3 linked regions of the Arabidopsis thaliana genome follow. The protein of the gene in region 1 interacts with the protein of each later gene in a pairwise test. Each region holds a gene or a part of one and is shown in the gene's direction. Other genes may lie near its edges.

Region 1 (3,756 bases):
TGTGCGCTCCTTCGAGCAAACCAGGAAGATCTGCGACCACCATTGTTGAATCGTAATCAAATGAAACCACACCTAGATTGGGAAGTAATGTGGTGAATGGGTAATTTGCTATGGTTGGCTGTGCGGCACTTATCACGCTCAACAATGTGCTTTTTCCTGCATTTGGAGCACCCACAATACCTACGTCTGCGACCAGTTTCAGTTCTAAGTCCAGCCACCTATAGGCATATGTAAAGTTATAATTGGGAATCAGAGCTTCCCAGAAAAAAAAAAATATATATATGAACCACATATTACATTTCCTAAAGGCAAACACAGTCTCATAATTCTCCAACAGCATGATAGTGTTGGACTCTAAGAGTACCCAATCCAGTCTATAGATAACCCAGAAACTCATATCCGTTCATAATACTCTAACATACCTCTATCAACATGAGCTTTTCTACTAGCAGAGTCAGCAATGGAAGACTTTCAAAAGTCCTGTACCTGTATCTATATATAAATTCTTGTATAGTGAGCATTACTTACAAGATGAGATTTCCTCTGGAGATTAACCGAGATACTAAACCTAACCCAGATGATCGAATGAAGGAAGCAGGGCTCACATGTAAACATCAAGCTTTACCAAACAAAAGAAATACAAATCAACTGTTCCTAAACCAAAATGAAATTTTTACATCTTTGAACAATCTAGCTTCTGTGATTAGTTTATCCTATCAAAGCTTGTAACCATCATCAACACACTAAACTAAAACCAGCTCAAAAATGAAGAAAAATACACACTTACATTTCAGGACCTTCTTCGCCATTCTCAGCAATCCTAGGAACTTTATTCATCCCCGACTTAAACGAAGCATTCCCTCGTCCACCTCTCCCTCCAGGCAACAACAACGCCCTCTGTCCCGGATGCAACAACTCCAAAAGCACCTCCTTCTCCTCCCCTTCCTCACCCTCCACCTCACTCCCAACCTCTCTAGCCTGTCTAACCACCGTCCCAGGAGCCACTTTCACCACGACATTATCACCTTTAGCTCCACTCTGCATCTTCCCTCTCCCATGTTCCCCACGTCCCGCCCTGAAATGCACACTCTTGCGAAATGGCAACAACGAATTCATAGACCCATCAACCTCTACATACACATTCCCTCCTCTCCCTCCATCTCCACCTGAAGGTCCTCCAAAAGGAACAAACTTTTCTCTCCTAAACGCCACCACACCATTCCCTCCATCTCCGGCTCTAACATATATCTTCGCTCTATCGAAACACCTCATCACAGCCGGAACTCCTTTCTCCTTCACCCCAATTTCATCCTCTTCCTCTTCACCGGAGAAACATAACACTTCTCCATCCTTCAATTCAGACCCTTCACTATCATCTTTCTCCGCATCAGTTTCATCACCATACTCAAACACTTCGTCTTCCCAATCTTCATCATCTTCATCAATTGATCTTGAACTCCCTTCAAACACATCTAATCTTCTGTAATTTCCCCAAATATCATCATCATCATAACTCTTCACCTCCTTTTCTTTCTCTTCTTCCTCAATTTCCCTCAAAGTTTCAATCTTTTCCTCAACCCTCGCGACATTGGACTCAGATAGCTTCACTTCTTCAGAAACTTTTAAATAAGATGAAGACAAAAGAGAGACATCATAGTAATCTTCCCTAGGAGGAAGACGTGTATAAGTAGTGGCTTCGCCGCCGGCATCAGAAACTGGCTGGAGTTTATCACCGCCTCGAGATTTAAGCTCGACTTCGCGTTGAAGCTTCGTTTTTCTAGGGCTTCGGGTTCTTCCCGAGACTTTGTCAGGTTTAGCGAAAATCTTCCTCGTCCTACTGGGTCGGGCTAGAGCTTGAGGAGTGAAGAAACAGTTAATGGATATGGAAGCCATTTGTTTCTCTGATAAATCTTAACGGGACTTTATGTGATATAAACAACATTTTGTACTAAATATTGATTTTTCAAAGTAAAGGGGGTTACAATCAAAAGTAGTATAAAATTGAGGACTTATATAGCAAACAAGGAGAAACTTTTATTACCTTTGAAGTTTGAAGCTTGGATCTCGCAGATTGAGCTCCAGAGAGGGAGAGAGAGAGAAAGGGGGCGCTTTAGGGTTTCTGCAGTTCCTGGTTCAGTCTCACCATTCTATTTAAGGGTTTTAATCTCTCTGCTTCATTTGGTGACTAACATTTATCGTCGAGGGTTGTGACGATCTCCGAGAATGTATAGCGGATCTAGCGATGGTGAGAGTCATGATACATCGACGCAGAGGAAGATCCCACCGGCGTCTTCGATGCTTTGGGTTAGAAATCTACGACGATATATTGGTTCCGGTGCCGGATTAGGATCCGAAGCTCTAATGGGTAATGTTCCTTTTGCCGGTTGTTGCGTTTTGGTTGTTGGGACAGTCTGTAGTTTTTTTATCTTTTAGCTTGTGATGATGTCATAAATTCTGTAAAGTTTGAATCTTTGATCACATTTTAGAGCTCGTTGTGTTTTCAATATGAGTAAAGTTCCTGAATTTACATGTCTATGTATTGAAAGACTATGTTTAACTGTGATAGAGTCTTTGGTTTTGCTTAGTTTGATAAGGGTTTGTGTTCATTGTTTTGTAGAGCTTGAGACGAAGAGAATCTTGCTCGAGATTTTTAAAGAGAAGCAACAGAAAAGCCAAGAAGCAGGCACAATACCGAGTTTCTACAAGAAGGCATGTCCCTTACTCTGTATAAAATGATTGCCTTTGCATTTCAAGGCACTACTCGGTTAAAATATTGCATTGTGTTATACACTTCATAGAAGTTGTTTTTCCTTTTAAGTATTCGTGTTAGGCAATAAAATTTTGTTCCTTTACTCTTGGTTCAGAAACCAGAAGAAGGATCTATTAGTCAAAGGGTCCAGAAGCTTGCAAAGTACCGTTTCTTGAAGGTATTTCGCCTGCTCTTAATTATTCAGAAGAAGTTTAATGTTTTTGCTCACTTCGATATGTTGATTAATTCCCACAGAAACAATCGGATCTTTTGTTAAACGCTGATGATTTGGCTGCTATGTGGGTTTGTTTGAGAGAAAATTGTGTGATTGATGATGCCACTGGTGCTGAAAAGGTACGTGCATCTTTTATAGGATTTTTCTCTGGAGCTGAAACTATGTTAACAATGATGCTGATATTGCGCTGTCTTTTTCATGTAGATGAACTATGAAGACTTCTGTCACATTGCCTCTGTATGCACTGAACAAATCGGTCCCAAATGTCGCCGGTTTTTTAGCCCATCCAATTTCATGAAATTTGAGAAGGATGAGGCTGGGAGGATTGCCATTTTACCGTTTTATCTTTATGTGATGCGCACGGTGAGTATCCTTATGTTTTTATAATGTCATGTCTTTGGGTATCATTTTTGTTCATTGGCTGAATATCATCTGTCGCCATAAGCTAAATATTCTTTGGTACTGTGTTTGAGTGACACCAGCTTTGCTAGTTTTGGATGTTTGTTTTTCAAGTTTTTTTAATTTGGCGTGTCTTTTACTTAAACAACTATAGTTAATACTTGTTTTGATTAATCATATGTTCAACACTATTCAGGTGTCGCTTACACAAGCTAGGATTGATATGAGTGAGCTTGACGAAGACTCTGATGGTTTCCTTCATTCTGATGTAAGTACTCAAGTGGCTCTAAAGCTTTAACTTTAGAATTGGCTCAAGATTCTTTAGGTAGTCGTCCTACCTGCAAATGTCAAATGGTGTTGACTTTTATGTCAA
Region 2 (3,756 bases), on another chromosome or scaffold:
CAAAACTCGAGAGATGGCGAACAGAGCTTCCACCGTTGTACGACATAGGATCAAGCCATATAAGTAGCACTGATTACGATGGCGCGAGCGTTCCAGCTGCAACTGCCGGGGGAGGAATGAGTTCAAGACGGAAAACTCCGACGACGAAAAAGCATAACCGCCGTCACACAGATGGAGGTAATGGACTTTTCTCGTGTTTTAGTAAGATTTGTGGTGTGGAATGCAGTTTCGTATGCGGTGGTGGTGGTGGGCCGATGGTCTCAGAAGGATCTACTAAGAAAGGTGGAGCCGGACGTGTGCAACGCACATATTCCGCTGACGATCTGAGCTTTGTGTGATCTTTATTTTATTGGTCTTATATTAACTTTTATTTTTTTTGGAAAACTATATTTTTTAAGGATCTGAGCTGATGAATTAATCAAATAGTAAACAAAAATTAATTTATTAATGTTGTGTTAATAAATCATTTATTTTTGTGTATTCCTCTTCTTCTTCCTTATTTTTAAAAAATTAAAAAATGTTCTTCTTATAATATAGTGTTTAATAGAAAGTGAGCTCACACAACAAAATTAGAAAACTGTGAATGAATGTAAGAGAGTGAGTGGAATAAAAAAAATATAAAAATGAAATCTAAGAGTGAGTGAACAAATGTTGGTATTGTAGACAATGGTGACTAAAATTAAAAAGAAACAAAATGATATAAACATTAATCTAAAAAAAACTAAAATAAATATACAAATTCTGCATTTCTAACTATACTTTCATGTATTATGTATACTTATTTGATTCATACATGATATAACCGGTTATTTAGTTTATTTTCTATCAAATCCATCAATTAGAGCATGAAATCTATGTACTCCTTGATAATGATTTTGATCAAAAGTGTAATTTCCACAAACCAATTGCGCCTGCAAAAGTTTTCAAAGGATCATCAAACATAATGATGAATATCTCATCACCACGATTTTATAATAATGCATCTTTTCCCACCATTTTTTTTCCCTCACTTTCTTTTATAATCTTGTTCGACAACAATCATGGTCTAAGGAAAAAGTTGAAAATATATATTATCTTAGTTATTAGAAAAGAAAGATAATCAAATGGTCAATATGCAAATGGCATATGACCATAAACGAGTTTGCTAGTATAAAGAATGATGGCCAACCTGTTAAAGAGAGACTAAAATTAGGTCTAAAATCTAGGAGCAATGTAACCAATACATAGTATATGAAATATAAAAGTTAATTTAGATTTTTTGATTAGCCCAAATTAAAGAAAAATGGTATTTAAAACAGAGACTCTTCATCCTAAAGGCTAAAGCAATACAATTTTTGGTTAAGAAAAGAAAAAAACCACAAGCGGAAAAGAAAACAAAAAAGAACTATATTATGATGCAACAGCAACACAAAGCAAAACCTTGCACACACACATACAACTGTAAACAAGTTTCTTGGGACTCTCTATTTTCTCTTGCTGCTTGAACCAAACACAACAACGATATCCCAACGAGAGCACAACAGGTTTGATTATGTCGGAAGACAAGTTTTGAGAGAAAACAAACAATATTTTATAACAAAGGAGAAGACTTTTGGTTAGAAAAAATTGGTATGGCCATTACAAGACATATGGGTCCCAATTCTCATCACTCTCTCCACCACCAAAATCCTCCTCTCTCTCTCTCTCTTTTACTCTGTTTTCATCATCTCTTTCTCTCGTCTCTCTCAAACCCTAAATACACTCTTTCTCTTCTTGTTGTCTCCATTCTCTCTGTGTCATCAAGCTTCTTTTTTGTGTGGGTTATTTGAAAGACACTTTCTCTGCTGGTATCATTGGAGTCTAGGGTTTTGTTATTGACATGCGTGGTGTGTCAGAATTGGAGGTGGGGAAGAGTAATCTTCCGGCGGAGAGTGAGCTGGAATTGGGATTAGGGCTCAGCCTCGGTGGTGGCGCGTGGAAAGAGCGTGGGAGGATTCTTACTGCTAAGGATTTTCCTTCCGTTGGGTCTAAACGCTCTGCTGAATCTTCCTCTCACCAAGGAGCTTCTCCTCCTCGTTCAAGGTTCGTCCTTTTTCTTATTAAGAAAGCTCAAATCTTGTGATGTGAGTGTTATGCCATCTCAGGACAGAATTGTGTAGGTGCTTTTGTTTTAGTTTACCCTGAATAAGAGTTAGGTATCTATCTCCATTGATGAGCTTGTGCTTGTCCTGTGCTATAGATTTCTCTATGGAGTCATGCAAATGCTAAGATTTGTTCATTTTAATGTCTGTTTAGATGATTACATCTGAATTTCGAGAGCCATTGAGTGGAAATTTCTTGGTTTGTTGTGGCAGTCAAGTGGTAGGATGGCCACCAATTGGGTTACACAGGATGAACAGTTTGGTTAATAACCAAGCTATGAAGGCAGCAAGAGCGGAAGAAGGAGACGGGGAGAAGAAAGTTGTGAAGAATGATGAGCTCAAAGATGTGTCAATGAAGGTGAATCCGAAAGTTCAGGGCTTAGGGTTTGTTAAGGTGAATATGGATGGAGTTGGTATAGGCAGAAAAGTGGATATGAGAGCTCATTCGTCTTACGAAAACTTGGCTCAGACGCTTGAGGAAATGTTCTTTGGAATGACAGGTCTGTACTGTTTTCAAATGCGTACACTATAAACCCGATGTTTTCTATGAATCTACTGATAGTTTCTGTTTTATCTATCAGGTACTACTTGTCGAGAAAAGGTTAAACCTTTAAGGCTTTTAGATGGATCATCAGACTTTGTACTCACTTATGAAGATAAGGAAGGGGATTGGATGCTTGTTGGAGATGTTCCATGGAGGTAAGATTCGGATATTAAGCAGTATTGCAGTAGTTCAAAACCTGATTAGTCTCTTTTCTCTCTTTTTGTTTAGAATGTTTATCAACTCGGTGAAAAGGCTTCGGATCATGGGAACCTCAGAAGCTAGTGGACTAGGTAAGTTTTAAAGATCATCTTCTGGTTTCTTGATTTCTCGTCTTGACTAATGAAAAAGACTGATTGAATCATTTTTAATGCAGCTCCAAGACGTCAAGAGCAGAAGGATAGACAAAGAAACAACCCTGTTTAGCTTCCCTTCCAAAGCTGGCATTGTTTATGTATTGTTTGAGGTTTGCAATTTACTCGATACTTTTTGAAGAAAGTATTTTGGAGAATATGGATAAAAGCATGCAGAAGCTTAGATATGATTTGAATCCGGTTTTCGGATATGGTTTTGCTTAGGTCATTCAATTCGTAGTTTTCCAGTTTGTTTCTTCTTTGGCTGTGTACCAATTATCTATGTTCTGTGAGAGAAAGCTCTTGTTTATTTGTTCTCTCAGATTGTAAATAGTTGAAGTTATCTAATTAATGTGATAAGAGTTATGTTTATGATTCCAAAGAATGAATATTTGTTCCTTAATATGGTTTGTTGTTTTCTGTCTTTTTGAAGTTTCCATTGACTCGAGTCAAAACGTTTTGCAGAAACAGAGAAGAGTGTGTCATTAAAAAAAACAGAGAAGATGTTTATTTTTTTTGGTCGAAGAGAAGATGTTTCTAAGACCATCAAAATCATATATTGATGATTGATGACAAGAAAAGTTTTGACCATCAAAAGTTTTGTCCTTAATTGTTCTTAAATTCACACAAAATACGTTAAGAGTTATCTTTTAAAACTGCAAACTACTTTAAATTGATAAACTTTGAAAAGTAAAGATTTTATTCTTAATCTGATAGTTGAAGACAAAGAAAATAACAAATG
Region 3 (3,756 bases), 2.9 Mb from region 1:
AATAACAAAATGATTTTCATTTTACGGAATGAAGTTATATGGTGGAACGAGTTTGGGTTGATATTAATACGGGACGATAATCTACGAGTAAAATCTTAGAATTAATAACTATAACATAATTATATAATCTTAAACACTAAACAAAATAAACAATATTTACAAAACAACTATATCTTAAAATTTGAATTTTTAGTTACAAAAAATCGACCAACGGTGTACCGCGGAGTTAAATTTACATTATATCATCTAATTGATCAAATTTCAAACAAAAACAATCAATTTATATATACATCAAACTAACAAAAATACACAGATTTTCCAAATATCTCTATATATTCAGCAAATCCAAACAAATCTAACAATATATTTACCATGCAAAATATAAATAAAATATAAATAATATAAATTAATAAAAAAAGTTAGCTATTTTATCATAATTAACACTGTACACTGTTCTATGCATATTATAATTTATACACTATAATATTTTTAACTAAAAATGTATTCCATTATATTTATATACACGTATGTGCAGGGTCAGAATCAAGTAAAAATTACACTATAAGCTCTGTCATTATTAGTGTGATGATTAGTCATGGTATATTGGTCTCGGACTCTCGGTTAATTAATATAAATCGGCTGAAGAAATTGTTTTGCCCCGAGTTAAAAAGAATAAAACAAATAGGTGATGACCCATGAAAAAAGGTCAAAAGACAAAAGAGAATTTCTAGATTGCCACAAATTTCTAGACAAAAGACACAAGATAAGTATAAACCAATTCAACTATAAGAAACTGTGAAATAGCCACAAATTTTATGTGTCTATTTCAACAGTTTTATTTGTAGTATTTTGAGCGTTGACCCATTTTAGTTATTTTCACTAATCAAATTACAGCTTATTTGATTATATGCCATAGCTATTAAGTTTTTTTAAGATTGAGTTGAAAGATCCTTAAACCATCTTGATATATTTCTAAAGTTATACTTGATTATGTTTAAGATGACTTTTCATGGGTTGGCAATTTCCGTAAATCAATCGATTATGTAACTTGAAAAAAAGGACAAACATTATGGAGGCCAAATTAGAGTAACAAAAACCAAGTTGGTAGTGGACTTTTCGTGAAAAAAGAGAGAATTTGTAGTGGAATTCTAAGTATACATACAATTAATATTTGCAGTACTTATATATCAAATAAAAATAAACAGAAGAAGGTTAGTAAACGAAAACCTACTACTTTACTCCTTTTATTGGTAGGTACTCATTTAAGCATGCCTAGGAATCTCTTTCCTCTTTCTTGTTTCCTTTTCTATGTCGGCCTCTACTCTCCAAGAATGGGTGTGGAGATGATCATATGATGACTATGTTGATGATCACATGATGACACAACCATGCATGATACATTTCTTTGTCTCATGAGTCACGGTGACATACATGAATTTTCTAAAATACATGTGTTACAAATGTCATGCATAAGAGAAGCAATTGTACATAGTTTATATGATTATAGTTTTCATTTTCTAAGTAAGAATAGCATTCATTTTCATTTTTCAATATGATTTTAATTCATGTCACTAGCTAATAAAGGGGTATTACTAATCACTGTTATTTATATATCTCTTTGTTTAAATTGGTTTATGTGTATGTGTTGGATATTCATTTTGACTTTGGTGCTATGGTAGCATTTTAGTTCTTTGGTAATTTTCGGTTACCCACATCTTTTTGGATCGAATTAGAATGATAATGGACACGTCTAGACAGCGTAATAATTTGGTGATTACATCTAAGATTTTTGGAATCATATGTTTTGTAATTAATCAGAGTTATTCGGTAGTATGAGACCCCACACGGCTATGAACCATGTTACCATATATTCTAAGTGGGTTTTTAATTTGATAACCACCTACCTATAACTCTAAATTAGTCTATTGGATTTTTCTAATGATCATCATATAAATTTATTCTCTTTATATAATAGTAATCGTTGTAAATAATATATGTGTGTCTCCCATCAATCCGCATCACATTCGTAGAATCATACACGTATGTAAACGCATTTTTGACATACGGAAACCATACAAGTAGGATCTGTTAGGTGGTTATTAATTCAAAATAAAATCTCTTTTCATTAGAAAATATAAAGAGACTACTTTTATAAAAAGATTGGGATTGTAGTTCCTTGCCAACCACCCATATAATAATACTCCCCAACACCAAAAACACAACACAAACTTAGAAAAATGGAAGAAGAAAAGAGATTGGAGCTAAGGCTAGCTCCTCCTTGTCACCAATTCACTTCCAACAACAACATCAATGGATCTAAACAAAAAAGCTCGACCAAAGAAACATCATTCCTTTCCAATAACAGGTTCTCTTAATCTCTTCTCATGAATGATTTGAATCATTCTTGTTCATTGTAGATGTCTTATATGATAATAAAATAAAAATAAAAAACAAAATCCTGGTAATTCTACAGTTTTCGGAGATTAGTTTGGGTTTCGGTATCTAGTTATCAAAAAGTATTTGTGTATATGTTATAACTAGATATGGCTAAAACAGGGTTGAGGTAGCTCCAGTGGTGGGATGGCCGCCGGTGAGATCATCCCGGAGAAACCTAACGGCACAACTAAAGGAGGAGATGAAGAAGAAGGAGAGTGATGAAGAGAAGGAATTGTACGTTAAGATCAACATGGAAGGAGTTCCAATAGGAAGAAAAGTCAACCTTTCAGCTTATAACAACTACCAACAGCTTTCACATGCCGTTGACCAACTCTTCTCTAAGAAAGATTCGTGGGATCTAAACAGACAATACACTTTGGTCTACGAAGACACTGAAGGAGATAAAGTTCTGGTCGGGGATGTTCCTTGGGAGTAAGTTTTAAATCAAACAAAACTAATTCCATTTTTTTTTCTGGAACTGAATATGAACTTACTTTATCAAAAATTCATTTTATATCTATCTACTTTTGTTTTTGTCGAATTTAACAAATATTTTTAGTATGAGTTCCTAAAAAGAGTTTGGCCATTTCTCATCAGATTATTATTTTCCTTTAAAGGTCATATTTTTGGATATTTATCTGATAATAATTTGAATCATTGGACATATTAATGATATAGTTTACTTTATTTGTTAGGATGTTTGTATCTACTGTAAAGAGGTTGCATGTTTTAAAGACCTCCCACGCCTTCTCACTCTCACGTAAGATTACAATTCTTACGAAACTTTTTCATACATCTCATCACTTAATTACTGCCTTGAAATTAACTTATATATTTATTTATTTTTTCACAGCTAGAAAACATGGCAAGGAATAGAGAGAGGTTGGCCAAAATCATCAGTTCGATGGTTTGTTTTTAATGTAATTTTTGTGGAAACTAATGGGGTTTGGCTTTGATTTACTGGTTTTCTTTTTCACTTATGTACTAGGTTTTTGCTTGCTATGTTATTTCTTGTTTTGGTTGTAAATATGCTGTTCGTTTAAGAAATCGGGGGTTAGTATGTTATCGTGTGTATAAAAATAGTGTAAGCACGTAAGTTGATTACAATGCCTGATATGATTCATGCCTTCGTTTCGTTTTTTAGTAGGGAAAATGGTATTTAATTAGCGAAATCAAACCGACTCATTTTATGTTTTTTTCAGAGAGGTAAAAATCCAGAGAGCCTGTTTACTATGTATGAGTAAAGATTACCCGAAATAATAGAGAAATAGATACAAGAGGCTATCCAAGTTTGGTGGGTTCGAGTTTTATAACACCATC

The links.
Region 2: the proteins of FASS (region 1) and IAA12 interact in binary tests that used the Arabidopsis thaliana proteins (3 or more experiments, as listed by UniProt).
Region 3: the proteins of FASS (region 1) and IAA28 interact in binary tests that used the Arabidopsis thaliana proteins (3 or more experiments, as listed by UniProt).

Annotation. Positions count from the first base shown.
Region 1 is NC_003076.8:6,172,931-6,176,686, forward strand, and holds the start of FASS (tonneau 2 (TON2)), read left to right. Parts: upstream 1-2,041; 5' UTR 2,042-2,223; coding exon 2,224-2,365; intron 2,366-2,617; coding exon 2,618-2,709; intron 2,710-2,864; coding exon 2,865-2,927; intron 2,928-3,004; coding exon 3,005-3,103; intron 3,104-3,188; coding exon 3,189-3,347; intron 3,348-3,579; coding exon 3,580-3,651; intron 3,652-3,756. Other genes in the region: EMB269 (GTP1/OBG family protein), read right to left, coding at 1-218, 788-1,893. UniProt on the Arabidopsis thaliana protein: Probable regulatory subunit of type 2A protein phosphatase involved in the control of the dynamic organization of the cortical cytoskeleton.
Region 2 is NC_003070.9:1,238,724-1,242,479, forward strand, and holds IAA12 (AUX/IAA transcriptional regulator family protein), read left to right. Parts: upstream 1-1,570; 5' UTR 1,571-1,858; coding exon 1,859-2,061; intron 2,062-2,333; coding exon 2,334-2,620; coding exon of another isoform or gene 2,621-2,652; exon of another isoform or gene 2,653-2,701; coding exon 2,702-2,819; exon of another isoform or gene 2,820-2,892; coding exon 2,893-2,954; intron 2,955-3,037; coding exon 3,038-3,087; 3' UTR 3,088-3,434; downstream 3,435-3,756. Other genes in the region: AT1G04540 (Calcium-dependent lipid-binding (CaLB domain) family protein), read left to right, coding at 1-338.
Region 3 is NC_003076.8:9,031,243-9,034,998, forward strand, and holds the start of IAA28 (indole-3-acetic acid inducible 28), read left to right. Parts: upstream 1-1,961; 5' UTR 1,962-2,237; coding exon 2,238-2,365; intron 2,366-2,556; coding exon 2,557-2,868; intron 2,869-3,131; coding exon 3,132-3,196; intron 3,197-3,289; coding exon 3,290-3,312; 3' UTR 3,313-3,756. UniProt on the Arabidopsis thaliana protein: Aux/IAA proteins are short-lived transcriptional factors that function as repressors of early auxin response genes at low auxin concentrations.